4 linked regions of the Callithrix jacchus genome follow. The protein of the gene in region 4 interacts with the protein of the main gene of each other region in a biochemical or structural test. Links are inferred from orthologs where the notes say so. Each region holds a gene or a part of one and is shown on either strand. Other genes may lie near its edges.

What was found.
Region 1: of the proteins of RIGI (region 4) and RNF125, one has a biochemical effect on the other in vitro, tested with the Homo sapiens proteins (3 studies listed by BioGRID and IntAct, with this or other methods). The link is inferred for Callithrix jacchus from reciprocal best matches to the Homo sapiens genes RIGI and RNF125.
Region 2: of the proteins of RIGI (region 4) and RNF135, one has a biochemical effect on the other in vitro, tested with the Homo sapiens proteins (6 studies listed by BioGRID, with this or other methods). The link is inferred for Callithrix jacchus from reciprocal best matches to the Homo sapiens genes RIGI and RNF135.
Region 3: of the proteins of RIGI (region 4) and TRIM25, one has a biochemical effect on the other in vitro, tested with the Homo sapiens proteins (5 studies listed by BioGRID, with this or other methods). The link is inferred for Callithrix jacchus from reciprocal best matches to the Homo sapiens genes RIGI and TRIM25.

The regions. Positions count from the first base shown.
Region 1 is NC_133514.1:75,099,003-75,106,805, reverse strand, and holds the start of RNF125 (E3 ubiquitin-protein ligase RNF125), read right to left. Parts: upstream 4,414-7,803; 5' UTR 4,378-4,413; coding exon 4,214-4,377; intron 1-4,213. UniProt on the Homo sapiens protein: E3 ubiquitin-protein ligase that mediates ubiquitination and subsequent proteasomal degradation of target proteins, such as RIGI, MAVS/IPS1, IFIH1/MDA5, JAK1 and p53/TP53.
Region 2 is NC_133506.1:101,967,334-101,974,980, forward strand, and holds the start of RNF135 (E3 ubiquitin-protein ligase RNF135), read right to left. Parts: upstream 5,237-7,647; 5' UTR 5,211-5,236; coding exon 4,842-5,210; intron 2,664-4,841; coding exon 2,520-2,663; intron 1-2,519.
Region 3 is NC_133506.1:109,435,615-109,442,676, forward strand, and holds part of TRIM25 (E3 ubiquitin/ISG15 ligase TRIM25), read left to right. Parts: intron 1-610; coding exon 611-637; intron 638-953; coding exon 954-995; intron 996-1,074; coding exon 1,075-1,182; intron 1,183-4,748; coding exon 4,749-5,278; 3' UTR 5,279-7,062.
Region 4 is NC_133502.1:139,672,426-139,679,487, forward strand, and holds part of RIGI (antiviral innate immune response receptor RIG-I), read right to left. Parts: intron 6,501-7,062; coding exon 6,381-6,500; intron 4,353-6,380; coding exon 4,245-4,352; intron 3,851-4,244; coding exon 3,697-3,850; intron 3,167-3,696; coding exon 2,908-3,166; intron 2,594-2,907; coding exon 2,431-2,593; intron 1-2,430.

The sequences.
Region 1 (7,803 bases), on a different chromosome or scaffold from region 4:
AACCTGAGGTCAGGAGTTCAAGATCAGCCTGGCCAACATGGTGAAACCCCATCTCTCCTGAAAATACAAAAATTAGCTGGGCGTTGTGACAGGAACCTGTAATCTCAGCTACTCAGGAGGCTGAGGCAGGAGAATCGCTTGAACCAGGGAGGCAGAGGTTGTGGCGAGCCAAGATAGGCCATTGCCCTCCCGCCTGGGCGACAGAGTGAGACTCTGTCTCAAAAAAATAAATAGGCCAGGCGCGGTTGCACACACCGGTAATCTTAGCACTTTGGGAGGCCAAGGTGGGTGAATCACGAGGTCGAGAGATCGAGACCATTCTGACCAACATGGTGAAACCCCGTCTCTACTACAAATACAAAAATTAGCTGGGCGTGGTGGTGCCTGCCTGTAGTCCCAGCTACTCAGGAGGCTGCGGCAGGAGAATCACTTGAGCCCGGGAGGTAGAGGTTGCGGTAAGGCAAGATCACACCACTGCACTCCAGCCCCATAACAGAGTGAAACTCCATCTCCAAAAACAAACAAACAAAAAAATCACCAGGCTTTTTTTGGAGGCACCCCCTTATCTGGACCTAGGAAATTATTAACTGAAAGTCTGACACCTGTGAAGGGCTGACAGAGCAACTTAACACAGTCATGCCTATTCTTTCTCAGAGCTGTTTATCTATCAAGTTTCATCAGCATAACTAGACCACCTTTGTCCCAGCCCCTTCTTTCTCTCTCCCTCCCGTAACCATGTTCCAAGCCCCTATTCTGTGGTAACCTCAAGATGGTATAAAAGCATCAAACAAAGCCGGGCGTGGTGGCTCACCCCTATAATCCCAGCTCTTTGGGAGGCTGAGGCGGGTGGATCACGAGGTCAACAGATCGAGACCATCCTGGTCAACATGGTGAAACCCCGTCTCTACTAAAAATACAAAAATTAGCTGGGCATGGTGGCACATGCCTGTAGTCCCAGCTACTCGGGAGGCTGAGGCAGGAGAATTGCTTGAACCCAGGAGGCGGAGGTTGCAGTGAGCCGAGATCGTGCCATTGCACTTCAGTCTGGGTAACAACAGTGAAACTCCGTCTCAAAAAAAAAAAAAAAAGCATCAAGCACTGGCCCTTTCTTTCAGTTTTCACATTTGGCATGACTCCCGTGCCCGTATGCACATTAATACATTTGTAGTCCTTTCCCCCTTGTTAATCTACTAGCAGTTTGTTTCATAGACTCAAGTGATCAAACCTTTAGGGGAAAAAAATCAAATTCAAATTTCCTTACAGTGATCACACAGCTGGCTAGTGGCAGAGCTGAATTTCAAATCCAGCTCTCTGTAAGGGCCAGTTTCCACTGCACCACAATGCAACTTATAAAGTGCTCTGTGCATATTTATTCAAGGTACTGTTGTTATTATTAAACTTGTTTGACTTGAAGTAGGTTTACAAACAAAAATCAGCATAAACAACCTAGTTCATTACATTTGAAAATGTAGCTTCAATATGAGATCATAAAATAGAGAAGGTTCATTTGCATTTCTTTGTTTTCCAACTTAATTTCAGCGGAAAAGAGTAATTCGTTTAGAATGTACAAATGGTATTAACAACACTCACAATCTCTACTGCAGTAAGGACTCTGGTTAACAGCTATAAAGTGGAAGGGACCCAAGTAAGTTTGCCAAAAGGAGGAATATGGAAATTCTGCCCACAGCCAGAACAATGAACATAGATTTGCCAAAACAAAGAACAGTGAAGCAAGGAAAGGCAGTTTGCTCAGCCCTTATTATACTATTTTACGACTTTTTTTTTTCAGTTGCTAGTTTTCTATTCACTTGAACAAAGAAAAAGATTAAACAAAAAATTCAACATTTTGCAAATTTATATTATCCTTTAGTAGAAGGAAAAACACTGTTAACGGTAAATTATAATGTTCAAAGTCCAAACCGGGAAAACAGTCTCCAGTCAGATTGAACAGCAAAGCCTTCTATTCCAAAAAGAATCTTCAAAACGCCCACTGTTTCTGTTTTGTACTACGTTGAAGTTTTAATGCTAATAATTATTAAATTTAAATGGAGGTATCTTTAGGTTGTTACTGCACTAAACTAATCAATGTACTTTGACTCACATAGCACATTTTGGCTTCCAGATTGGTCTGTGGATATCATGTTACTACATCTGGACAGCTGAGCAACAACATCAATAACCAGAAAGGAGGGTAAATTTAAGCCTCGAATTTTACGAACAAGGCTGAAACAACAGGCCTTGAGAATACAGCCATGAAATAATGCCCAAAGCACTCTTTATACATTGCACAGGTTGCACACTTTTCTCCCTGGCTCACAGACGGGCAGTGGTGAACACTGCTTTTCAGATACAAAGATATAGGTAATAAGGACCACCTAAGTACTTTCAAAACTTTTTTTGTTTATTTTTTGAAGCAAAGTCTTGCCAGGGTGGAGTGCAATGGTGCCATCTCAGCTCACTGCAACTTCTTCCTCCCAGGTTCAAGCAATTCTCCTGCCTCAGCCTCCTGAATAGCTGGGATTACAGGTGTAGGTCACCATGCCTGGCTAATTTTTATATTTTTAGTAAAGACGAGGTTTCACCATGTTGGCCAGGCTGGTCTTGAATTCCTGACCTCAGGTGATCCATCCACCTCAGCCTCCCAAAGTGCTAGGATTACAGGTGTGAGCCACCACTACAGGCCTCAAAACTTTTGAATGCAAATGCACATGTTTTTAAGGACTACCCAAATCCTTTCAAAAGTGGTTCTCGAAAACATATTGTGCACTTGCATCCATAATATGCTATTTCTTTCTTCCTGCTAAGCCAAAAGCTGTACAAGCCAATGTGGTATCGCACAGGGCTTCATCATACTATAGTCAGTCTTCAAAGGACATTAAGTAGGCTTCCGCTCCTGATCTGTGCACCCGCACGCGCGCACACACACACAGACACACACACACACACACACGTGTATCCGTGAACAAAATTCAAGACAAACAGTGAAGGCTGGGAGCAGTGGCTCATTCCTTTAACCCCAGCACTTTGGGAGGCTGAGGCGGGTGGATCAATTGAGGTCAGGAGACCAGCCTGGCCGGCATGGTGAAACCACATCTCTACTCCAAATACAAAAACTATCTGGTTGTGGTGACACACGCCTGTAATACCAGCTACTAGGGAGCCTGAGGCAGGAGAATCACTTGAGCCGGGGAGGCAAAGGTTGCAGTGAGCCGAGATCGCGCCACTGCACTCCAGCCTGGGCAACAGAGCCACACTATGTCTCAGGAAAAAAAAAAGAAAAAAAGCAAACAGAGAACACAACATTAAGGATGTGCCAAATTTATATCCGGACTTTGTTTTTAAACGCTTCTTAGAAACGACAGGGCTTTGCACCAACTGCGAGTTTTAGCTAAATACTGCTCGGTTTCGAGAAAGTTATTTTACTCTGTAATTTCTGCGGGTTTGGAGAGACGGGGAGTAAAGCAGGTAGTCTGCCACCTCCTGTCACGCTGTGGCTGGGTAGTGAAGGATTGCATTCAGGGGCTTGCGGCTAACGTCCAAGCCCCACCCTAGCAGGTTGTTAAACTCTAACGACTGTGGAAAGTCACTCGGAAGCTCCAGTTTGACTTGCTCTTTGAGAGGCTGGGTGTCTGTTTTGGGAAAGGGTAGCAGGGGTGGGGGTGGAAGGACACTTGGCACAAATCCTTGTTTGCTTAAGACGAGTCTCTGTGGGCATTCTGGGAACACGTGCACAGCTGCAGCAAAACAAAACGGACCCAGGTTTCTGGGGCAGAGGGAAGCGCAGCCCGTTCCACCGAGTTCAGCGGGATAACTGCGCTTAGCGGGAGCCCTTGCCTTGTAGCGGGCGCTGGTTTTCTTTCTGTGCCCGGGCGGTCGCTGGTTCTCCAGCCAGGAGCACCCTCCCTCGTTGGCCAGCCCTGGCGCTGGGTGGGACCCGTGCCTGGATCCCTGGAGCTCCGCACCTGGGCTTCGGGAGGAGACAGCGCAAGGGGGCTAAAGGGCCCGCTCGTTTCTGTCTTCTCCTCCCGAAGTCCCGTGTCACCTACCGACTGGCGTTTTCCTTGTGGCCCCGCACCCGACGGGTCCAGGTTTCTCCCTGCAGCAGTTCCTAAGGCGCTGTCTTCCGTCCCCCTTCTTCCCCCTACCAAGCCCTCAGCTTCCCCACATCGACCTCCGCAGGGATGGGCGCGAACCCGGCTCCCCTGGCACTTACACGTGGCCACAGCGGGTCCGGACAGGCCGGTGTAACACCTCAAGGCATACGGAGCAGTCGAAGGACGTGACGGGCAACTCCGGGTCCCCCCTGTGCTCCAGGGCCCGCGGGGTGGCAGAGGCGGGCGCCGACTTGCCGCTGTCGCTGCTCAGCACAGAGCCCATCGCTGTGCCTCTCGCTCGCCCGGACAGCTGCCAAGCGCTCAGTGCCTGCTGCAAGGTTGTTTTGTTGCCGTGCGCTGGAGGAAGGAAGTCCCAGCCCAGCTGCGATCGCCGCCTCCCAGCGCACCCAGTTCGCGCAGCCCAGAAGCAGCCTCAGCCGCTGCGCCCAACCCTGGTCTAGGGCAGGGCGAGTGCGCGGCGGCGGGGCTGAAATCTGCAGGCTGCCGGGGTTGAGGCGCGGAGGCGGAGGCGGAGGCGGAGGCGGCGGCCGCCGGGTGCTCGCTGCACTGTCTTGTGGTATTGGGAGGATTGAAACCTGAAACCTCAACTGCAGAAAAGAGGATTGAGGCAGTAGTAAACCTTCCAAGCTGTCACCCACACAACCTCTTTCCCCACAGTCAGAAGTTAAGGGCGGGCGTGGCCATGCTTAATGCTGATCAGAGAACAGCCGCTTGAAAGGTGATGGATAGGACCATCCTCCACGGTTGAAATCACAATAAGCTGCAAAGATGGCCTATGATCTATGACTGGGCGTCTCCTAAGACTGTGCTATCAATACTTTGTCATCCAGTCAATAGTCCATCAATGGAGAGATAGCACGGGCAGTGGAAAGAGTTCTGGAGATTTGGATTCCAATCCTGCCTCTCGTACAGAGTCTAGTGCTAAACGCTGCCATCTCCAGTTTCCTCTGCGGCTCAGGATTTCCTCTGTTGTTTGTACTCTCCCCACCCCGCCCTTTAAACTTGATCAGCTGCGCTCAGTGACCCCGGCCTGTAATCCCAGCACTTTGGAAGTCCGAGGCGGTTGGATCGCTTGTGGTCAGAGTTCGAGATCAACCTGGCCAACGTGGTAGAACTCCGTCTCTACTAATAATATAAAAAGTCGCCGGGCATTAATTCACACGTTTTACGAAGACTTATTTAGTGCCCACTGCATGCCAGACCCTGTTCTGATGATAAAGACACAATTGTCAACAAGCAAATAAAACCCCAGTTCTCACAGAACTTACTTTAAAAAACAAAAACAAAACTTTATTTTGAGATAATTGTAGATTTGCGTAGAGTTGCAAAAATAGCACATAGTATATAATACACATATACAATAATACATAACACATGGGATATAATAACATATAATACATACATGTACTTAACAGCCCATAAATTTCACCCAGTTTACCCCAGACTTTACTTTTTATTATTATTATTATTATAATACTTTAAATTCTGGGATACATGTGCAGAATGTGCAGTCTTGTTACATAGGCATACACGTGCCATGATGGTTTGCTGCACACATCAATCCATCATCTACATTAGGTATTTCTCCTAATGCTATCCCTACCCAGCCCCTCACCCTCCAACAGGCCCTGGTGTGTGATGTTCCGTTCTCACTGTTCAACTCCCACTTATGAGTGAGAACAAGTGGTGTTTGGTTTTCTGTTTCTGTGTTAGTTTGCCAAGAATGATGGCTTCCAGTTTCATCCATGTCCCTGCAAAGGGCATGAACTCATCCTTTTTTATGGCTGCATAATATTCCACGGTGGATTTGGGCTACATTTTCTTTATACAGTCTATCACTGATGGGTATTTGGATTGCTTTCAAGTCTTTGCTATGGTGAACAGTGCTGCAATAAACATACATGTGCATGTGTTTTTATAGTATAATGATTTATAATCCTTTGGGTATATACCCAGTAATGGAATTGTTGGTTCTAGATCCTTGAGGAATTGCCACACTCACACTTTACTTTTGATTAAGAGATATAGGCCGGGTACTGTGGCTCACACCTGTAATCTCAGCACTTTGGGAGGCTGAGGTGAGAGATCATTTGATCACAGGAGCCAATATCATGCTACTGCACTCCATCCTGTGCAACAGAGCAAGATCCTGTCTCAAAAAACAAACCAAGCTGGGGCAGTTGCTCACGCCTGTAATCCTAGCACTTTGGGAGGCCGAGGAGGGCAGATCATATGAAGTCAGTATGAGACCAGCCTGACCAACATGGTAAAACCCTGTCTCTACTAAAAATACAAAAGTTAGCTGGGTGTGAGCTACTTGGGAGGCTGAGGCACAAGTATCGCTTGAACCTGGGAGATGGAGGCTGTAGTGAGTTGAGATCATACCACTGCACTCCAGTGTGAGTGACAGAGTCAAATGACAACAACAATGACAACAAAACCCCAAAAACAAACAAAAGGAAGATCTAAGTAATCAATCAATAAATTTATTTATTAATAAATGAATAAATAAAATTTTGTTCATTAATAAATGAACAAAATCATTTCAGGTAATCAGAACCACAAAGAAGATAAAACAGTGAATGACAATGGGGAGAAGGATAAGCTCAGAGAAGACTTTTTGGATGAAGTGACATTTGAGCAAAGCCATGAATAATGAGAAGAAATGAGCCATTCATAGATTTAGGGAAAAGCGTGGCAAGCATTGGGAACAGCGAATGAGGCAGGATCAAAGGAAAGAAAGATTTGTGGGGCTGGAGCATCAGGTCGTGGGGGCTGGGGGGTATGGTGAGGAGATAAGATGAAATGATAGCTATTTTCAAAAGGAAATTAAAATCCTCTTTTCATCCCACTTATGCCTCAACTCCTGCCCCATATCCCCTTCAAGGCCAAATCTCTTGATCTGATTCTGCACATTTTGTCATCATTTCTCAATTATTCACTTCTTATTCAGTCTCGTCTGGGTTCTGAACCAACATCTCCACCTCCATCTGTCGAAAAACTGCTTTATTATCGGTGTCACTGGTGACGTTCATGTGACTAATTCCAATAGATTCTTTTCAGCTACGTTTTTGCTTGACCCCTTGACTGTGTTTGTCAGTGCTGACCATTCCCTCCTGGAAACGCTTTGACTTCCCTTCTTTCTTGCTGGCTGTTGTTTCTCTGCCTTCTTTGCTGGAGTCTCTTTCTCCACTGGCTCTGGGCTGGAGAGCCTAGGATTCTGTCTTAGGACCTTTTCCCTTCTCATTTCTCTTTCTTTCTCTTAAAAATCACATAGGTTCTGTTATACTTTTGTTCCAAAGACTTTCACATCTTTATCTCCACCCCAGGCCATTCAAATGCTCAACAGCCTAATAGCTTACATGATAGACATTTGACATAGACATCCTCAGCCCAATGTGTCTAATAATGAACTCATTACAGTAGCCACCACCTCTCCTCCTCCAGTGGTTGTGTTAGCAAATGGTACTATGATCCACTTTATATCTCAGTCTAGACACCTGGAAGTCATCCTTGATTTCTTCTTCTTCCTCATTCACATCGAATCAATCACAATCACAATTCTGCCTCCAATATGAATCTCAGTAGTTTTATTTTGTTTTTGAGACAGAGTCTCTCTCTGTTGCCCAGGCTGGAGTGCAGTATCACCACCTTAGCTCACTGCAACGTCTGCCTCCTGGATTCAAAC
Region 2 (7,647 bases), on a different chromosome or scaffold from region 4:
TCCAGCCTGGAGGTGACAGAGTAAGACTCTGTCTCAAAAAAAAAAAAAGGAATCTTTTCCCACCTCTATCATTATATCATGTCACTTCCCAAGAGCTACCTCTCACGTTGCCTACATCTAGGTCCTGCTTTCTGGGGCCTCCAACACATGCTCCCTGATTTTCTTTAGCCTCAGGTCCTGTTCTTCCCCAATACAGTCCTTTATCTGCTCACCAACTTCAACCCTTGACTTTCTTTCCCAGCTTTGCATAATCCACTCCTCATTCTTTCCACCAATCAAAATACAGTAGTATTACACTTACTGAGTGTTTTCCACATGCTAGCTATTGCCTTTCTCTCATTTGCATGACAAAGTAGGTTTAAAAGCCTGTAAAAAATGTCCATTTTCAACAAAAGAAGTTAAAGTTCATAGGGGTTAACTAAATTGCCACAGTTAATTATATCACCCCATATTTTAACATTGGTCAAGCACCTTTTTTTTTTTTTTTTTTTTTTTTTTGAGACAGAGTTTTGCTCTTGTTACCCAGGCTGGAGTGCAATGGCGCGATCTCAGCTCACCGCAACCTCCGCCTCCTGGGTTCAGGCAATTCTCCTGCCTCAGCCTCCTGAGTAGCTGGGATTACAGGCACGTGCCACCATGCCCAGCTAATTTTTTGTATCTTTAGTAGAGACGGGTTTTCACCATGTTGACCAGGATGGTCTCGATATCTTGACCTCATGATCCACCCGCCTCAGCCTCCCAAAGTGCTGGGATTACAGGCGTGAGCCACCATGCCCGGCCGGTCAAACACTTTTTTAAACCTATTTTAACCCTCACAATAAACCAGTGATGTGGCAGGCCACGTATTATTATTTCTACATTACATATAGGAACCTGAGACGCAGAAGGATGAAAAGACTTGCCCAAGGTCATGATACCAGAGAGTGACAATGTCAAGTCTGAAAGTCTGACTCTCAGACTTTTATCCAACACATTGCATCCCTGAAGATGCATTTATTCATACATTCAGTGGGTATTTGTTGAGCCCTACTATAAGTGGGTACTTGGGTACTGTGCTAGGGCATGGGGATACAATGGTGGACAAAAGCATCAAAAGTCCCTATCCTCATGAAGCTAAGAGTCCAGTGCAGGAAAAGGGAGAGGGGCAGACATTAATACAGAGTAGGGCACAAGTCATTACAAAGTTGCAATGATGATAACTACTACCAGTGAAAGGTACATGGAATCCTAAGAGCCTCTAATGGGGGAATTTGATTTGTTCGAGGAAATCAGTGAAGGCTTCTCTCTGAAGAAGGGATGTTCTAGCTAGGATCTGCAGGATGAGCAAGCATTACCTAAGCGGTGGAGGGAAAGGAGAGCATTCCAGGAAGGGTCCCCTGTAGTGGGAAGACGTGAGACACCAGAGGCACTGATGTGGCCAGTGTAGCTGGAGCTCACAGAGCCAGGCAGAGTAAGCAGAGATGAGATTTGAGAGGCAGACACAGATGGGATCCTACAGGGCTTTGTCGATCCTGTGAGGATTTGGGTCTTAGTCCTGAGCAAACTGATGTCACTTGAACGTTTTAAGCAGATGAGTTACATTTTCAGATGTGTTTATGGTGGTCACTGTGATGACCATGAGGAAAACAGACTAGAAGAGGGAGAGTGGAGCATTTGGAAGGTTATGACAGCAATCCAGGCATGAAATTATCAGAGGCTTGGATTAGAGAACTCTCAAAGGAGCTCAAGAGTAGTAAATATATTTGAGAGGTAATTAGGCAGGTCTTAGAGCTACAATATGCTGCATATTAGGGTGAGGGAGAAGGAGGTAACATGATTCCCATGTCTCTGGCTTCTGTACTTGGAAAAATAATAGGGCCAGCATTGAGATGAGAAATCCCAGAGGAGGAGCAATTTAAGACATGTTAAGTGTGATGCTTTGAGATACCCAAGAAGAAAAGATGAGAAGGGAGATATAGCAGCCTAGTGCTCAGAGAAGGCTCCAGGTTGTAGCTATATTTGTGCATAGAGGTAGTCATTAAAGCCAGGGGTACGAGGAAGACTACCTGGAGGAGAGAGAAAGGGACCTATAACTCAGCCTTGAGGAAGTCCAGCATTGAATTCCTGAGCAGAGGAGAGAGAGCCTGCAAACGGACTGAGAAGGATCAGCCAGAGAGAGGTGGGGGAAAGGCAGAAGACTGCTGTCCCAAAAGCTAAGAATGAAGGTGGGGTCCACTATGTCAAAGGCTGCTGAAAGGTCAGTGAAGACAGGCATCAGAATGTCTACAGGGTTTACACAGAGGTCATTGGTGATCTTAGAGATAGCTGGTTAAGTGGAGTGATCCTAGCCCACTCAAAGCTTCCGAACCTTACCTCAAGCATACCAAATATCCAATCATCCATGTCTGGTAGTGAAGAGAACAATAAAAGGTTGAGACTTACTGCATCCTTCAGCTTCAAACACATTCATGTCGTTTCAGTTGAAAGCAATCCCTAGCCCTTTCACCTCCCAGATCCTTTCCTCTCCCAGCGGAGCCTACCTTGCCCAGGATGCTCAGTTCATTGTCTGGTCCAGATTCTGATAGGGGCCTCTGACTCTGCAGGCTCCTGACAATATCTACAAGCCGTTCCCCCAGCTCTGTCAGCTCCTGACCAACTTCTGTGATGCTCTTCTGTACTTCCACCTTTAAAACAGCAAAGTTCAGTTCATGGGTTCTATAAAACTGGACCCAGGAACCACTATAGACAGAGGGAGTCATAAATGCTGTGGTAATGGCATGAAAACAGACATATAGACCAATGGAATAGAATAGAGTACCCAGAAATAAACTCTCATATATATGATTAAATGATTTTTGACAAAGGTGCCAAGACCATTCAATGGGGATAGGACAGTTTTTCAACACATTGTATTGTGAAAACTGGATATCTACACACAAAAGAATAAGGTTGGATCCTTACCTAACATTACACACAAAAACTAACTCAAAATGGATCAAAGACCTAAATGTAAGACCTAAAATAATACAGCTCTTAGAAGAAAACACAGGGCAAAATGTATGACACTTGATTTGGCAATGATACAAAAATCAGCCAGGTGTGGTGGCAGGTGCCTGTACTCCCAGCTACTCTAGAGGCTGAGGCAGGGAGAATTGCTTGAACCCAGGAGGCAGAAGTTGTAGTGAGCCAAGATCTGTGCCACTTCACTCCAGCCTGGAGTGAGACTCCATCTCAAAAAAAAAAAAAAATCACAATGAAATGTCACTTCATGCCTATACCAAGGTGTGAAAGCTATGCTAAAAAAGAAAAACAAAAACATCCAGAAAATAAGTAGTCAGCAGAATGTGGAAAAATTGGAACCCTTGTACATGGCTGGTGGGAATGCAAAAAGGTACAGGCCTTGTGGAAAACAAACCATTCCTCAATAAGTTAAACATAAAATTACCATATGATCCAGCAATCACACTCCTAGGTATATACCAAAAGAATGGAAAATAGGGACTCAGATACTTGCACAACAATGTTCCCTGCAGCATTATTCACAAGTAACCAAAAGGTGGAGACAATTCAAATGTCCAAGGATGGATGAATGGATTTTTTAAAATGTGGCCGGGCTCAGTGACTTAGGCCTGTAATCCCAACACTTTGCGAGACTGAGGCAGGCGGATCACGAGGTCAAGAGATCGAGATCACCCTGGCCAACATGGTGAAACCCCGTCTCTACTAAAAATACGAAAATTAGCTGGGTATGGTGGTGCGCACCTGTAGTCCCAGTTACTCGGGAGACTGAGGCAGGCGAATCCCTTGAACCCGGGAGGCAGAGGTTGCAGAGCCAAGATGGTGCCACTGGTGACAGGGCGAGACTTCATCTCAAAAAAACAAATAAATAATGTGGCACATCCACCCAGTGGAATATTATTCAGCCTCCATAAAAGGAATAAAGTCTGACACATGCTACAACATGAATGAACCTTGAAAACACCATGCTAAGTGAAAGAAACAAGGCACAGACATTGAATGATTCCAGTTATATGAATAACCAGAACAGGAAGACTCAGATACAGAAAGTAGCTTAGATGTGAGCGGGGGCTAGAGGGAGGGAAAATGAGGAGTTACTACTTAATGGGTACAGAGTTTCTGTTTATGGTCATCAAAGGGTTTTGCAAACAGCAGTGTTATTTGCACATTGGAAATGTAACTAATTTGTCACTGAATTATACACTTAAAAATGGTTAAAATGAGGCCGGTCCCGTGGCTCACATCTATAATCCTAGCACTTTGGGAGGCGGAGGCGGGAGGATTGCCTGAGTTCAGGAGTTCGAGACCAGCCTGGGTGACACGGTGAAACCCTGTCTCTACTAAAATAGAAAAGAAAGTAGCTGGGCACGGTGGTGTGCGCCTGTAATCCCAGCTCCTCGGGAGGCTGAGACAGAAGTATCGCTTGAACCCGGGAGGCGGGAGTTGCAGTGAGCAGATCGCGCCATTGCACTCCAGCATGGTGACAGAGAGACTCCATCTCCAAAAAAAAAAAAAAAAGGCAAAAATGGCAAGTTTTAATGTTACATGCATCTTACCACAATTTTACAATTTTGAGAGAAAGAGACCGCAAATAGATTGGGAAGAAGTTGAAATATGCCAAGGCGTATAGCTGCTAGGTTGACAGGCTTTCGGGAGATGGGGAATTTTTTTTTCCTGCTTCTTCATACTTTTCTGAACTTCAAAGTTCCTCCTAAGAGCGGGAGTCGACTGTTAGATTGAGAAAAGGAACGTAAAAGTAGAACGGCTGAGGAAGGGGGTTCGAGCCAGAGGGAAAGGGGGGCAGCCCGGGGGCGCGAGGGGACCTGCGAGCTCGGCCTCCCTACCCGCGGCAGTGACCCGCGGCGCCGGGGCCTGGGGGCCGGGCAGGAGCCGGGGCCGGGGCGGGGGGCCGAGTCGGGGCCCGCCTCCAGCTCGCGCGCGGCGCGGCGGTACTTGTCGGCCAGGTCCTGCAGCAGCGTGTTCTTCCGCAGCCGCGGCTGCTGCGCGGCGACCTCCCGGCAGGTGGGGCAGGCCCAGCGGCCACCCGCGGCCCGCGCGCCCCACAGGCTCTCCAGGCAGCGGCGGCAGAAGCTGTGGCCGCAGGGCAGCGTGGCCGGCCAGTCCAGTAGCCCCTGGCAGATGATGCAGCCCAGGTCGTCCTCTGCCAGCCACACGGGGACGGCAGGGCCCGGGCCCAGACCCAGGCCCGCCATGGCGACCAGGCTTGGCGCGGACGTCTGGGTCTAGCCGGCCCAATGTGGGCCGCATCTCCTCAGGCTCCTCCCTCGCCCTTCCTCTTCCCCCGGCCCTCCACCTCTTCTCGGTTGCCTCTTACCCTCCTCCCTTGGGGCCACCCAGTCTCCTTCCTCCGGTCCTGCTGAAAGCGGACTTTGATCCTCCACAACCCAGCGCGAATGGCAGAGCTGACCTTCGGTGGCGGCCCCCTGCCCTCGGAAACCCACTTGCCGCCAGCCGCTAGGAACCCGCAGATGTCTCCAAGATTCCCTTTCGCTGGATGTGCCCCCATTAAGATGCAGCGCCATTGGATGTCTTCTTCCGTAGGCTAAAAAAATATAAATACGAACGAGCCCGATCTCGTCTGATCTTGGAAGCTAAGCAGGGTCGGGCCTGGTTGGTACTTGGATGGGAGACCGCCTTAGAATACCGGGTGCTGTAGGCAAAACACACACACACACACAATCAACAAAAAGATGCAACACCGACAACTCTTGGGAGGAAAGGAGTCCATTCAGCAGCTCATTTGTAAGAATGAGTCCGCGAGGTGTCATCCTCTAATAAGTAGCTGCTCTAACAAGTAGCAGGGGATTAAAGATCATCGGTGCACAGTCACGGTGGCGGCGGCGGGGGTGGGGGTGGGGGTCTTCAAAAATGCTGATGTTCGGGTCCCGCTTGCAGGGAGTCTGATTTCATTGTCTCGGGCGGAGCACGGGTTTTTATAAAACCTCCCCTACATGATTCTGACGCGCATTCAAGGCTTTTTAACGCGCAGTTATAAAGCAGAGTTGCGCGCTGTGTCCTTACTGCCCTCTGCGGGATGTAAGCGCGTTTCCCGACAGACAAGCGGACAAAATACTAAAAAGTGTTTTCCTGAGATGGCTCGCCTGGCGTTTGTGGCGTTTGCGTTCTCCCACTCACTCACCTCCTACTCCAGTCCTAAGCGCATTGCAAGCAGAAAATGTTAGAACTAAAAGAGCACCAAGTCCTCCCAGATGACCCAAAGAGGTAATGGAACTTCTAAGCTCGCATGGTAACAGTGAGGCGTCAGAGACTAAAACCCACAACTCCCCAATATGTTGAAATGAACTAACAATGCCTCATGCTTTAATGCCTCATGCTTTACCCCTTCTCACCGGAGCTCAAAGTAGGTATCAGATAATACAAGTTTGTAGCAGACCTTTGGATCACTTGAGGTCAGGAGTTCAAGACCAGCCTGGCCAACATAGCAAACCCCCATCTCTACTAAAAATAAAACAAGATTAGGCTTGGTGGCTCACGCCTGTAATCCCAGCACTTTGGGAGGCCAAGGCGGGCAGATCACAAGGTCAGGAGTTCTAGACCAGCCTGGCCAATATGGTAAAACCCCTTCTCTACTATGGTGGCGCCTACCTGTAGTCCCAGCTACTCGGGAGGCTAAGGCAGGAGAATTACTTGAACCTGGGAGGTGGAGGTTGCAGTGAGCTGAGATTATGTCACTGCACTCCAGCCTGGGTAACAGAGCGAGACTTTTGTCTCAAAAAATAAATAAGCAAAAACAAAAAAAAACAAAGTCAGTCTTCTAGGTGCATGCCTGTAGTCCCGGCTACTCGTGAAGCTGAGGACAAAAAAAAATGTTTGTGGTTATTTCCAACACTGGAAGTGTCATGGAGTAGGCAGCACTGCTCATCAGCGTTTCCAGTACTTTCCCTTTCTGGGCACATGGTAGGACTGGCACTTCCCTGACCCACTTGAAACACACAGAGGTACTAATGTTACTTCCCACCAGCTTTAAAGGTGACTGAGCCGGTCATTGTATCCCTTTCTGCCAGCTGCTCCAACTATGGAGATGAAACCATCATTCAGTGATCTGGGTCAGTGAGTGGCTAAGATGAGCAGACTCCCTGCCAACCCACTCTAGGATATGTAGTAAGCGGGAGAAGAAAACCGGGATGTGTTCAGCTTACTGAGATTAAGTGGGTGTGTATTGATATAAGCTTACTGAGATTGAGTGGGTGTGTATTGATACACCATAACCTAGCCTATCCTGACTGAGAGATTACCTGGATCTTGTTCCAGAATCTCCACACTGAAGTAAAATCATAACTTCTAAGAGCCTCTCTTTTTTTTCTGTAAAATGGGCATGATACTAAACAGTTAAACATGCTCAGATCTTCCAATTTAAAAAATAAAATCGCTGTCTGGGCATGGTAGTTCATGCCTGTAATCCCAGCACTTTGGGAGGCCAAGGCAGGTGGATTGCTTGAGCTCAGGAGTTTGATACTACCCTGAGCAACATGGTGAAACCCTGTTTCTACAAAAAAATATAAAAATTGGCCAAGCACAGTAGTTCACGCTTGTAATCCCAGCACTTTGTAAGGCTAAGAATGGTGGATCGCCTGAGGTCGGGAGTTCGAGACCAGCCTGGCCAGCTGG
Region 3 (7,062 bases), on a different chromosome or scaffold from region 4:
TTTGACAAATGCATACATGTGTTACCATTATCCAAATCAAGATAATTTCCCTTACTCCAGAAAATTCTTCAAAAAAAAAATTTTAAAAAAGCTGGGTGCAGTGGCTCATGCCTATAATCCCAGCACTTTGCGAGGCCGAGGCGGGTGGATCACGAGGTTAAGAGATTAAGACCATCCTGGTCAACAAGGTAAAACCCCGTCTCTACTAAAAATACAAAAATTAAGCTGGGCATGGTGGCGCGCACCTGTAATCCCAGCTACTCGGGAGGCTGAGGCAGGAGAATTGCTTGAACCGAGGAGGTGGAGGTTGCGGTGAGCCGAGATCATGCCATTGCACTCCAGTCTGGGTAACAACAGTGAAACTCCGTCTCAAAAAAAAGAAAAGAAAAGAAAATTCCTTCCTGCTCCTTATTCATCAGTCCCTGCCTGCCATGTCCACTGATACTGGTTTCTATCACTGTAGATTCATTTTGCCTGCTGACTCCTATTTTTCAAGTGAAAACATCCTTTTATTTGACTGGGTCAAATTCAAGCACATGAATATTATTATTTTGAAAATGTCATTGTATTTGCCTTAAAAGATCTTAATTCTGAAAACTTTCTTTTGCAGAAGAGAAAAAGAAATCCAAGAAACCTTGTAAGTTTTGCATTTCTGCAATTGTTTGTTTCTTGAGACTGCCTGAGCATAGAACTAAATGCTGGTAGCGAGAGTTGATCTCTCTCATCAGGCTTCTTTCTGTGCTGGGATCTGTATGATTCCATTCTGTATGGCAGCAGGCCTGAGTCTGGAGGGGAGGACAAGCATAAATGAGTGAGATGAGTAAGGTGATTTTAGCCCTGTCTGGTGTCCCCTGTGTTGCCCTGCTGTTCAGGTGTGTGTTTGTAGAAGCTGCTCTTAGGAAGGGAGTAGAGGCCAACCCATTGCTCTGTATCATGTTTCTCTTTCCTTATAGCTTCGGGACTGATAGTGGAATCAGAACAAGATGGCTCTGAGGGTGAGTTATCATGGGCAAGAAGCTTTGGGGTGTCCACTCGGAGTTTGTTCTGCAAATTGCTCTTTGTTTCCTCTCTCAGCGGCAGCCACTGGAGCCAAAGGTGCCAGCTCACAGCCGAACGCAGCATCTCTCAAGGCCAAGGTGCTGGAGACCTTTCTGGCCAAGTCCAGACCTGAGCTCCAGGAGTGTGAGTAGCTTCTGTGCTGGTGCGCGGTTCCACCGGTTCTGTCTGTCCTCAGCCACTCTGTACAGTTCTGTGTGAGGCCAGCTGGCCAGCCATTTCCCAGCCATTTCCCTTCACTTGTCCTCTACTTTGTTGCTCCCTTATTCCTCCCAGTCATCAGTGCCTTTCTTGACTTCTTTCCTAACCAGCTCAGATTTCACAATGGGTCCTTTGACTCTCCCTCTTGCTGTCTATTCTGGCCTTACTGAGCTCACCTTTGGCATCTGCATGTTCCCTGCAGAGAAGGCAGGGCGATTGTGGTCACCAGCCTTCACCTGGCTGCTGTCTCCTGTCCCCTCCCTACCACTCTTTCAGAGCCACCATTCCCAAGACTTCCCACAGCCTTCTCCCTATTTTGCCCACCTTCTGCTTCACAGAGAAGAGAGACAGTGAAAAAGGGACTCCCCCTGCTCTGTTAATTGTCATCATACCTGCATCTACTGTGCCCTTTTCCTCGCCTCCTGGCCCCTTTCCCAAGCCTGGTCCCTGGCCCTGGGCTCTGGAGTCTGCTCCCCATGTGCTCTCTGGAGTCTTCTGCTCTCTCTTAGGCCTTTCCACTCCCATCTCTTCACCCTCAGCCTCTCTGCTGAGGCTTGCCTATCTGTAGCATGTTTACATCTCTCCAAATCACAAAACAAACCCAGCAAAACTGTTTTGGGGCCGGGCGTGGTGGCTCAAGCCTGTAATCCCAGCACTTTGGGAGGCCGAGGCGGGTGGATCACGAGGTCAAGAGATCGAGACCATCCTGGTCAAAATGGTGAAACCCCGTCTCTACTAAAAATACAAAAAATTAGCTGGGCATGGTGGCACATGCCTGTAATCCCAGCTACTCAGGAGGCTGAGGCAGGCGAATTGCCTGAACCCAGGAGGCGGAGGTTGCGGTGAGCCGAGATCACTCTATTGCACTCCAGCCTGGGTAACAAGAACGAAACTCCGTCTCAAAAAAAAAAAAAAAAACTGTTTTGGCTCCAGCTCTGTTTCCTGCCTCCCTTTTACCTGAATGCTTTTTAAAAATACAAATTCCTAGCTGGGTGCAGTGGTTCATGCCTGTAATCCCAGCACTTTGGGAGACCAAAAGGTCAGGAGTTCAAGACCAGCCTGGCCAACATGGTGAAACCCCATCTCTACTAAAAATACAAAAAATTAGCCAGGCATGGTGCCACATGCTTGTCATCCCAGCTACCTGGGAGGCTGAGGCACAAAAATTGCTTGAACCCAGGAGGTAGAGGTTGCAGTGAGCTGAGATTGTGCCACGGCACTCCAGCCTGGCAACAGAGAGTGAGACTCTGTCTCTACAGACAAACAAACAAAACCAAAAAAACCCAAAAAACAAATTCCTGGGCCCTGTTCCAGTTCTACAGGATCAGACTCAGGCAAGCACGGAGATCTTTTATGTTTGGCTCATTTCCTTCATGGTCCTTTTGAGGACGGCTGGGGAAAAGCAGCTCTTCAGACTGTGGACACTGGTGGCTCTCAACTGCTGGCCATGTGTTAGAATCCTCTGGGGAGGTTTTTAGAATCCCCGATGCCCAGGCTGCCCCCCAGAATGGTTCACTCAGAATCTCAGTGTTTAGTTGTCCAGGGTTGCAGTGTGGGGCCGAGGTGAGAGCCCGAAGTCTAATCCTTTTGCCACTGCAGTCTGACCTCTCTCCTGCCCTTGACTCAGGCAGCTCTGAGGTCATCAGTGGCCTCTGTGTCACAAAATCCAAGGGATGCCTTTCAGCTTTTATTTAGCGTCACCTCTCAGTGGCATTCCTCCTCCTTCTGACACTCTCTCCCCTTGACCCTTGAGCCACTATACGCCCCTGGGTTTCCACCCACCCCTCTAGTCAGGCTCCTTTGCAAGCTTGTCCAACTTGGAAATGGGTGGAGTTCCTTTATCAAGGCCAGGCCTAGGACCTGCCCACTTTCCCTCTTGTTTCTTCTGCACCCACGGGCAACACTCCATGCAGCACCTGCCAGCGGTACCCACTTCTATGTGGTGGCCAAACCCAATCACTGAAAAATACACCTCAGGCCCTTCCTTCATCTGCAGCTGCAGCAGACTTGGTGGAGATCTGTGGGTCCCTTGGTTTCTCAGGGCTGGCCTCCTTGTAGCTCACCACTGTGTTTGTCCCCCATGAGAGGCCCAGACCAGCCCCGGGCTGGAGCTGTCTCTTGCGCAAGCTGCTGGTGGTGGTGCTGAACCACATGTTTCAGGAGCTGCTGTGCACTCAGTGGCAGCTGCATAAGCAGGGAAAGTAAAGTTCTAGCCACTTAGGGCCTGTTTTCCCCACAGCTTATTCATTTTGCCTAGGGGGAAACTCGGGCTCCAGTGAAAAGTGTCATGCCCCTCAGCCACCTAGCAAGTGAGTAGGGACTAAAGAGACTGGGACGAAAGTCCAGGTCTCTTGGTTTCCAAGTTCCCAAGCTAAGATTTGTCCCTGTCTGCCTTGCTGCCCCATGAGCTGTTTCCCATGGGTCCCCAAGATCTCCTATGAGGACGGGGGCAGAGGAGATTGAGTATGGGATGACACTGAGGGGAGCTTCATCCTCAGATCTGGAACTGCTTGTAAGTGGCAGGAAGGGTAGGGAGGATATGCTAGTGTCACACCAAGGATATAGTCAGGCCATGTCTATGCTTACAGAGCTTGGCTCCCTGCTGCCCACCAGTTAAAGTCTAGACTCCTGAGTTCTTCCCTTTCTAGCCCCAACATGTTTCCCTTCTCTTGCTGCATCTGTGTTCCCAGCCACCCAGCTTCCTCAATCCTGGCACACCCCCACCCTTCTGGCACTCTGTGGCTTCACCCTCACCATTCCCTCTGTCTGGAATGGCCATTCTCTTTCCTCTGTCTAGTTCTCATCTTCTGTTACTTGGTTCCAGCTCCAGCATGACAGCAAAATGTTCCCCAACTGTAGCATCAGTGGCCTTATCTCTGTGTCCCTACAGTGTGTGCCTACGCTTTTGGGAGAGTGTGAGTCTCATAGTGTTGTTACTGATGGACTTGCCTTGCTTGTTGGAGTGTGAACTCCATGAGGCAACCAGAATCTGTGTCAGTCATGTGCCTGGTAAATTATTTTGGACGCATGAATGGGCAGACACGTGGATGACTGATAGATGATAGATGGCTGGCTGGGCAGAATGGATGGATGGATGGATGGATGGATGGATAGATGAGCTGATGGATAATGGATGGCTGCATAGATGGACAGATGGATAAGTGGATAAATGACTAGATGAGTGGATAGATGAATGAATGAATGGATAAATGGAAAGACAGAAGGATGGATAGAAAAGTGAATGGATGAGTGGATAGATGGGTATATGGACACATGGGTAGATGGCTAGATGGATGGATGGATACATGGATAGACAGATAGATGGATGAATAGACAGACAGATAGTTAGAAGTATGGATGGACAGACAAATGGGCAGATGGGTGCATGGATGGATAAAACTGGTGAATAAATAGTACCACATTGGGAAAGGTCTAAAAGTGAGAGCACTTTGGGCCCCTTGTAATTAATCCTTGGGGTGTTGTTTTCTCAGATTATGTTAAAGTCATCCTGGACTACAACACTGCCCACAAAAAGGTGGCTCTGTCACAGAACTATACAGTAGCTTCTGTGGCTGAGATGCCTCAGAACTACCGGCCGCATCCCCAGAGGTTCACATACTGCTCTCAGGTGCTGGGCCTGCACTGCTACAAGAAGGGGATCCACTACTGGGAGGTGGAGCTGCAGAAGAACAACTTCTGTGGGGTAGGCATCTGCTATGGCAGCATGGACCGGCAGGGCCCCGAGAGCAGGCTCGGCCGCAACAATGCCTCCTGGTGCGTGGAGTGGTTCAACACCAAGATCTCTGCCTGGCACAACAACGTGGAGAAAACCCTGCCCTCTACCAAGGCCACACGGGTGGGCGTGCTTCTCAACTGTGACCACGGCTTTGTCATCTTCTTTGCTGTTGCTGACAAGGTCCACCTGATGTATAAGTTCAAGGTGGACTTTACTGAGGCTTTGTACCCGGCTTTCTGGGTGTTCTCCGCTGGTGCCACGCTTTCCATCTGCTCCCCAAAGTAGGCAGGCCATGGACACTTGGACTGACTGCTTGCAGAGGTCCCAAGACCCTAGTGAAAATCCAGCAGGCAGAACTCTCCTTGGAGAATTCCCCAAGAGGTCCCAAGGTTTGGGAGTATGGGAGGGGAGCAGGCGGGAGGGTGGGGGATGGGATTTAGCCTGGGAAAAGGGGTGGAGGTGATTGTGTTGTGGGCAAGGAGGCATTTCCACCCCCTGGTGCCTATCAGGGCAGGGTGACCTGCTTCTCATTGTTCTGGGAAATCTCCAGGCTGCTGGGCAGCTGGGCAGAGCTCTGGGGAGTGAAGTCATGAGTGCCTAATTCCTCTTAGAAAAAAATCCATATCTACTGTAGGTTCTGTCTTGGGCCACTTGGATCTGAAGGCTGCCCCTTTGCTCTCTGGGGTAGCCTTCAGATCTGGGTGTTTTGATTACTTACCATAGATGTTTTTAAAATTCCAAAGTCATTAAATTTGGTTGAATTACACAACCTCCGTTACCCACATGCTGGGGCTCGATCTCCTGATTATTAGCTGTGCTTGAGGAAACACCCACAGCAGTCTCTACCCAGAACAGAGTTTCCTAAAGAAGCATGCCCTCTTCCTCCACTGTAAAATAGTGCTGTTCCCTTCCTACCCTGCTCACCCATCACTCCCCATTGATGGTTTTCAAACAGGAAACTTTTCAGCTAAAGCTTCAAACCATGACTGGAATGAGCCTGTGTTGGATTTGTGATTCAAGGTCAGGTGACCCCGGTCCAGTTTGAATGGAAATCCTTCCTAAGTGTCATGAGAAGCATCTTGGCAGAGATGCTTTGGTGGCAGCCATGAGCTTTGCTGGAGGCCTTGCTTCCCATAGCCTTGGCTGCAGGGCAAGGAACTCTGCTGGTCAAGAGGGACACTGCCCTGGGTCAACAGAAGCCTGATGGGTTTGCTCGTGTTGGAGTGTCCTGCTTTCTTACTGACAACTCTTCTTGGCTTTAGCTCCTCTCCCCTGGATTGTGAGATACGGAATGACAGTGCAGGTACCACTGAAGCTAGCACAGCCAGCTAAGCTGGATCTCTGAAGCCTGCTATCATGGAGACAGGCTGCCTCAGGGACCACACTAGACCACTTGCTCGGGTGGCAACCTAGCACCAAAAGGGTCTTTTAGCAAACCTCATGGGGAACAGGAACATTCCTGTTCATCCCTGGCCACAGGCTGCAGACCCAGCACTGGCCGTCTCATGAGTCAGAGCCTGGGGCTGGCCCTACCCCCTTGTGCTGCCTTCCTCCTTTGAGCCAGTTCTGTAAACTCACACTGATCAGGGAGGGAATGAGTTAAAGAGGGTCACACAAGTGGCTATTTTCCCTGCAGTGTTTCTGTGCAGTGAAAATAACCCAGTCCACTAAGAGGCGGGAGTGAATGGATTGCTGGATTTTCCCCAGGCTCCTTATAGCCCGATGTTAGGATGTTAAGTGTGAAGAACTTAACCTCTTATAATGAATTGAGTTCAGCTCTGGGCTTTGCTTAGAGGAGAGCTCCAGTCAGGCTTCTTATAATATGAAAAGAGGTCACCAGGGGAAGTAGAGACCCCAGATCTTTTCATATGGATATTTGAGAATGTAATGCATCTCAGGCCTCATGCTGGAATTCTTGGGCACTGTAGGAAGGGCAGAACAGTTGATATTCCTGACAGGTACACACCTGATCAGCGTCATCTCCCGGCAAGGATTTTTACTTTACTGGGAGAGCAGTAGTCTTCGTAGGGAAGACATCCCTGCAATAGGTAATATGTGGTCCTTAGACG
Region 4 (7,062 bases):
TTTCAAGAAGGAAAGACTGTAGTTCAAAGTAGATATTTCTCAAACCTTTCTCTGCCTTTGTTAAATCCTCTGAAAACCCTGAGGTTCCAGGCTCACTGGCAGGTGGTCTAGATATAACAAATGCTCAAAAACCTTGCAATGGCTTCCTGTTGCTTCCTGTACTGATTTTAACATCTTTCGTGGTGTAGATCTAACCAGCTTATTTTTATTGATTTATTTTTATTTTTTGAGACAAAGTCTCGCTCTGTTGCCTAGGCTGGAGCACAGTGGCGCAGTCTCACTCACTGCAACCTCCGTCTCCTGGGTTCAAGCGATTCTTCTGCCTCAGCCTCCTGAATAGCTGGGACTACAGGTACGCACCACAACACCCAGCTAATTTTTATATTTTTAGTAGAGATGGGGTTTCACCATACTGGCCAGGCTGGTCTCGAACTCCCGACTTTTGTGATCCACCCGCCTCAGCCTCCCAAAGTGCTGGTATTACAGATGTGAGCCACTGCATCTGGCCTAACCAGCTTCTTACTGTGGCTGTCCTGTAACCTCTTCTCTGATGAGGCTGGCATCTTTCATGTCTCCTCAAGTGTCACAATCTAATCCCATCTCTGTGCTTTGCTATTCTCCCTCCCCACACAGCCTCCAGTGGTATTCACAGTGATCCTACCATTTATCAGTGTATTATTTCAGCCTAATTATTAATTGCCTACTATGTGCCATGCTTTGGTTATAAACAGTTGAAAGAACACACTCCATGCTCCATAGAGGGCTGTGATCTTAAAGGAGAGGAATATACATGGCTAACTAACTACAGCAGAGTTCTGTAACAGAAGTACATGCAAAGTGTGGCTGGGCACAGTGGCTCATGCTTGTAATCCCACCACTTTGGGAGGCCAAGGAGGGTGGATCATTTGAGGTCAGGAGTTCAAGACCAGCCTGGCTGGCCAACATGGCAAAATCCCATCTCTACTAAAAAATACAAAAAATTAGCTGGGCGTAGTGGCACACACTTGTAATTCCAGCTACTCACGAGGCTGAGGCAGGAGAATCATTTGAACCCAGGAGGTGGAGGTTGCAGCAATGAACCAAGATAATACTACTACACTCCAGCCTAGGCAACACTGCAAGACTCTGTCCCAGAAAAAAAAAAAAAAGTAGTAGGACATGAAAAGTGTCACAAAACATAGGCAAACACCTAATTCTTCCAGAGAAGTCACAGCTGTAGAATAAATACAGGAAGAAGAAAGGAAAAAGAGTAGTCATCTATATTCCATCACGACTTGGCAAAGAAAAAGAAAAAAAAAGAGCAGTGATGTACAAAGGAAGCACAGACAAGAGCTTGGAGAGAGAAAGCACAGGGCATGTTTGAGGAGCCCAGAGGAATGCGACATGGTTGGGTTTATGAATGTTTGGAGGCGATGAAGCTCAGAGGGCTGGAGGAGGAGGATTATAAAGAAATTCATATGTGACCCTGAAAAGCTGGGATTGGGTACATCACACTCCTTACAAGCAGCCTTCGAAAAGCAGCTTACCTACAACACTCCCTATTCCATGTGGATTTGTTCTACCTCAGACATACAGTCACATACTACTCAGAGAGCAAGGGTGTAATCCTATGTATTTTCTGTACCCCTCTCTTCTTTGCAGGGTTAGTATAATAATAACATCAATCAACAGTTGTTAGTCTTACTAAAAATTCATATCCAGCCGGGCGTGGTATCTCACATCTGTAATCCTAGGACTTTGGGAGGCCGAAGCAGGTGGATCACCTGAGGTCAGGAGTTCGAAACCATCCTGGCCAACATGGTGAAACCCTGTCTCTACTAAAAATACAAAAATTAGCCAGGCTCAGTGGTGGGTGCCTGTAATCCCAGCTACTTGGGAAGCTGAGGCAGGAGAATTGCTTGAATCCAGGAGGCGGAGGTTGCTGTGAGCTGAGACGCCACTGCACTCCAGGCTGGGTGACAGAGCAAGACCCCATCTCAAAAAAAAAAAAATCATATCTGATCTTTTGCGGAGGGATATCATGAATTCAGATCATTCCATTTCAACTAAAATGATCAAATACATATTCAAACAGTGATGACCATACGGGCACAGACCATGGAACAAGGCTGAGCCCAGCTCTTGGCTATCTGATGCCTAAATTCTCTCATCATCTCTTTTGCATCACTAGTACCTTTATAAGAGGTTTTTGGAACCAAAGAGGAAGAACCTTTGCTCTCTACAGGCCACTTCTGAGGTTCATCCATTGCTTGGGAAGAGAGCTCAGTTAGAGAGAGAGGCTAAAAATGTGACTATTACTCAAGTTTGGAGTTAAATATTTTTTACTAAACAGAGAAAGAGTCAAAGTTCAGTTTTCATCTAGATGGCTCTGAACTACTGCTAGCAGAGAGTAACCAAATCTCAAAGGGCTTGTTCCTGGATCCAACTTACACTTCTGGGGCTTATAAACAACTTGCTCCAGTTCCTTCAGGTTGTCTTGGACTGTTGCTATCACTGACGCATCAAGAGAAGCACAGAGTTTGCAGATATAATCCAAAGCTTCATCTGTGTTTTTGGCATCCCCAACACCAACCGAGGCAGTCAGCCCAATGACCTGTAAGAAGCATTCCAAATCATTAGATGTCTGAGAAATAGCACAATGTTTCCACAACCCCTCATATAACTCTTTCCTGCTGGAGTAGGGCTTTTGTTTTTGCTTTTACTGACACACAGCATATGGTACATGGAGGCACATAATGTGTATTTTACTAAGTGAACAAATGAATAAATGAACCAAAATTAAAAATGAGTTGTATAATATGGACTTAGGACCTGAGAAGGACATCTTCAGTGTGGCCACAAGAGTAAGTAAATAAAAGTTAGGAAGATTATAGCTTTTCTGAAGAATTCGTCTGACTTTGGAGATACCTGGGGCAGTGGGCCTGAAGATCCTCCAAGTTTCTGATCTAGATAATTGAACATGATCATATTGTATGGATGTTGTTTACTAGTGTTGTGGCATTCATCAAATATCATCAAAGTAAAGATGGACAGTGATGGAATCGTTCCATTTTTAAGGTTGTTCACAAGAATCTGTGGAGTTAAAATGATGATGTCGTTGTTCTCAACAATCTGTTTCACTGGGACATTCTCAGCTGTTGCTCCAGAAATGCCTGTAACTCTATACCTGAAATGACAGAAATTCCATATTACCAACCACAATGTGAATAAGGAACCATGAAGATGAAATGCTGGATCCGATCATCAACTGATTAAGTTCTCCCTGAGTCCAAAAGGAGTATAGCTGTAGGCAAGTCCTTAGCACATAGTAAGTGCTTAGCCTGACACACAGTAAGTGATCAATAAATCTAAGATAGTTGTGATTTATAGTAGTATATATTAAGTAACCAAGAGAGAAAAGAAAACTTAAAAGAGTAATATCAAATAAATTATAAAATCACTAAAGAAGTTAAATGTGCCACTTAAACATCACATTTATCCCTGAAGTCATTTACTCCCTGTACAAGGGCAAACCAGGGGCATTTAAGACTTCTGGGACATATAACAAAAAAGACTTGAATCCATGAATGAATTATATCCTGATTATATAAAAGCTGAATCTAATATAAGTTTTATCATTTTTTCCAAAATAAAACAGAAATCACATCAATTACATGAAGCTGAAGAAAAAGAAGTTGAACCAACTATTATACCTACCCAAGTCTTTCAAAGTATTTTGAGAATACAGATTTCTGCTGTTCATACACTGGGATCTGATTAGCGAAAAAGACAACTTTCCCCTTTTGTCCTTGCGGGAATTTTTTAAGATGATGTTCACATATAAGGAGTGCAACTAAGGTTTTTCCACAACCTTTTAACATGTAAGGAAAAAATAAAACATGTAACTCATATGATATTAGATATTTCTCTAAAAAGGCATTTATTTTTGGCTCTTCTAATACCACAGAGCTGACTAATTGATAATTTAGATGGGTTAACAATTACGGAATTTACACTATAACTAAAAAATATCAAGCTACTCCCTAGATAGCATGCTAACAGCCAGAACCCAAAAGCAAGCTAACAGAGGGTACTTTTCTTTACCTTCTCATGTCCCATAAAATAATTAGGATTATGTTATTAGGACAGTTTTTTCAAAAGACACATGAACAAGGAAAAAACTGAAACTTGCCCATTCTGTCCCAGTATTCAATAAAAGAAAAAAAGGAAACAAAAAACTATATAAGTGATGGCAACTGGCTTACCTGTAGGAGCACATATTATTGTGTTTTTTCCTTTCTTGGCAGGCAAAGCAAGCTCTAATTGGTAACTTCTTGGTTTAAATGGGCTGTACAAGTTTGTATCAGACACTTCTGGAATACAAAAGAAACAAAATTACCAAATAGCTCCTGCTCTGAGGAATCAGGGAAATAGCCACAGTCTAAAGTCCACAAATTCTGACTCCAGCAAGAAGCGCCTCATTGGAGACAGTTTAGAATCCTTTCCTTGTTAACCATTCTAGCTTTTTCACTAATCTGAAGTACAAAATTCTCTCAATGACAAAGTATTGATGGTAAGAAAGAAAGAAAAAAACATGAATTATTTTTTATACAATCATGGAAGCCTAACAAAGAGAAACCACAGCAAGAATAGCCCAATTCTGGGTAAGACAAGTTGTCCCTTTGTTAAAGGCAATGCTGTATGGAACAAAGCAACAAATCCTCCCAAGATCTTTGAAGAAATCCAAACTGTTACCAAAGCAATTTCTTAAGTAGCAATAATGCTTTGTCCTTCTTCAAGTTCTCAAATGGCATTTTCTCTCAATACAACCAGAAGTTTTGAAAAATAATCAAAGGCTTTATCTCAGTAACAGGTAAGCATACAAAATATTAAAGCTAGCAAAGACTTTGGAAATTGTCTACTGAATCTACCCTACCCATTTTAGAGAAAGGGAAAATTTCTAAAAAGTTAAGTGAATTACCCTCACAGAAAAGACATGTAAGGGCCAGGCACACTGGCTCATGCATGTAATCCCAGCACTTTGGGAGGCCAAGGTGGAGAGATCACTTGAGGTCAGGAGTTAGAGACCAGCTTGGCTGACATGGTGAAACCCCATCTCTACTAAATATACAAAATTAGCCAGTTGTGGTGACACACGCCCATGGTCCCAGCTACTTCGGAGGCTGAAGCAGGAGAATCACTTGAACCCAGAAGGCCGAGGTTGCAGTGAGCTGAGATGCACTGCTGCACTCCAGCCTGGGCAACGGAGTGAGACTCCATCTCAAAAACAAACAAAAAAAGACGTAAGAATCTTCACGTCAGAAAATTTAAAGCAATGCACATTCATTGACTTTATTCTGTTTGTTCTTTGTTTCTGTTTTTTTCCAGGGTAACAGATTTTATTCTGGAATGACCAAAAAAGAAAAAAAAAAAAAAGACACTTGTAACATCCAGTTGCAGAAGTAATCTGCACATTTTATTTCTATGGAGTTATCCTAATATCATTTTTCTTCTAACACTGCTCATTATTAATCCTAATTTCTTTCCGGATATCCTTTTATAAATAACTCTATTACGGCATAGTATGCAACTTTCCAGTCTCAAAAAACTGTCAAGAAAATATGGTTCAAGAAGATAAGGGGCCCTCACAGGGCCACAGCTAACTTATACAGAGCCTTTGTGTAAATGAGAAAAAGGAGCTGCACACTAACTTCATCAACTTGCAGGGCAGCCCTGAGATCCTTAAAAGAAATTGAGCAAGTGGCTCAGAAAAAGACTTTCTCACTCATAGGCAGGTGATGAACAATGAGAACACATGGACACAGGGAGGGGAGCACTACACACTGGGGTCTACTGGGGGGAATAGGTGAGGGACAGTGGGGTGGGGGGATATCATGGGGAGAAATGCCAGATGTGGGTGAAGGGGAGGAAGACAGCAAATCACACTGCCACGTGTGTACCTATGCAACTATCTTGCATGTTCTGCACACACATGTACCCCAAAACTTAAAATGCAATAAAAAAAAGAAAAAGAAAAAGAAGACTTCCTAAAGTCTTTCTTTAGAAAGACTAGAAAGCAAGACTGATTTGGGAATTCATAGACATTGCATTTTGGTGAAGACTCTATGTGCACTTCCAGTGTAGACACACACATACTTTCTTAGTGGTAAAAGAAGAAAAAAAGATAGTAAAAGAAGAAAAGAAAGATAGTGGAAGAAGAACTAGAAGGAGAGAATGGCATTCTAAAGACAGAAAGGGTATCTATTGTAACATAAATTCTCTTTTCCAATTTTCCTTACAAACCTTTTCACAAGGCTGTGACTTCTGGTACAGCAAAACATGTCCCCACACCAAATACCAGAAGAGCACCATTATGGAAAAGAACAAACAGTGTGGGATACCTGAAGGCAGACATGAATTCTCACTCAGGTTCTGGCATTCTGGATCTTCTTGGTAGAAAATCTGTATGTCAGAAGTTTCCAACTTCTCCTCAAGATCTTCCGTTTCCACATCTTTTATACCTTTTTAAGACCAAAAAAGTCTTAGAATCTTAATATAATCTGCTTATAGTTTTGATGTTGAAAGCTCCACAAAAAGGTCATAACACTAAATTTTTAACTTCTATTAAAATTTCTCACAACCACTCCCCTTCACCTTTTAAAACAGTTAAATAAATCATTTTAAGTTTAAAATCTCAATTTAGAGTTTACCTCCAATGTAATTTACAGCTATATTGCTCAAAGTGTGGAACGTATTGCCTTACTGAATCAGTATCCACATTTTAACAAGACCTTGGAGGGATTCATATGCATAAAAAAAAAAAGAGGAGCATGATTTAGCAGACGTTCGTGTCTTCCATTTCTGACTGACTCTTGACCCAAGAAATGAGATGTGTATTTACAGAAGCCTAGGAAAGCTAAGACTAGACATTCAGATGTTTATCAAACTCAGCCTTTGAAACTGCCTCCCTCCCAGAATTGAGCTTCCTGCTCTGGCTGAGGGGAAAACGCCTCTGATGGGATGTAAAAGACCAGCTGGAATGAGTGAAGCCCGAAGTAGAGATGTGAGGAGGGCACGGTGTCT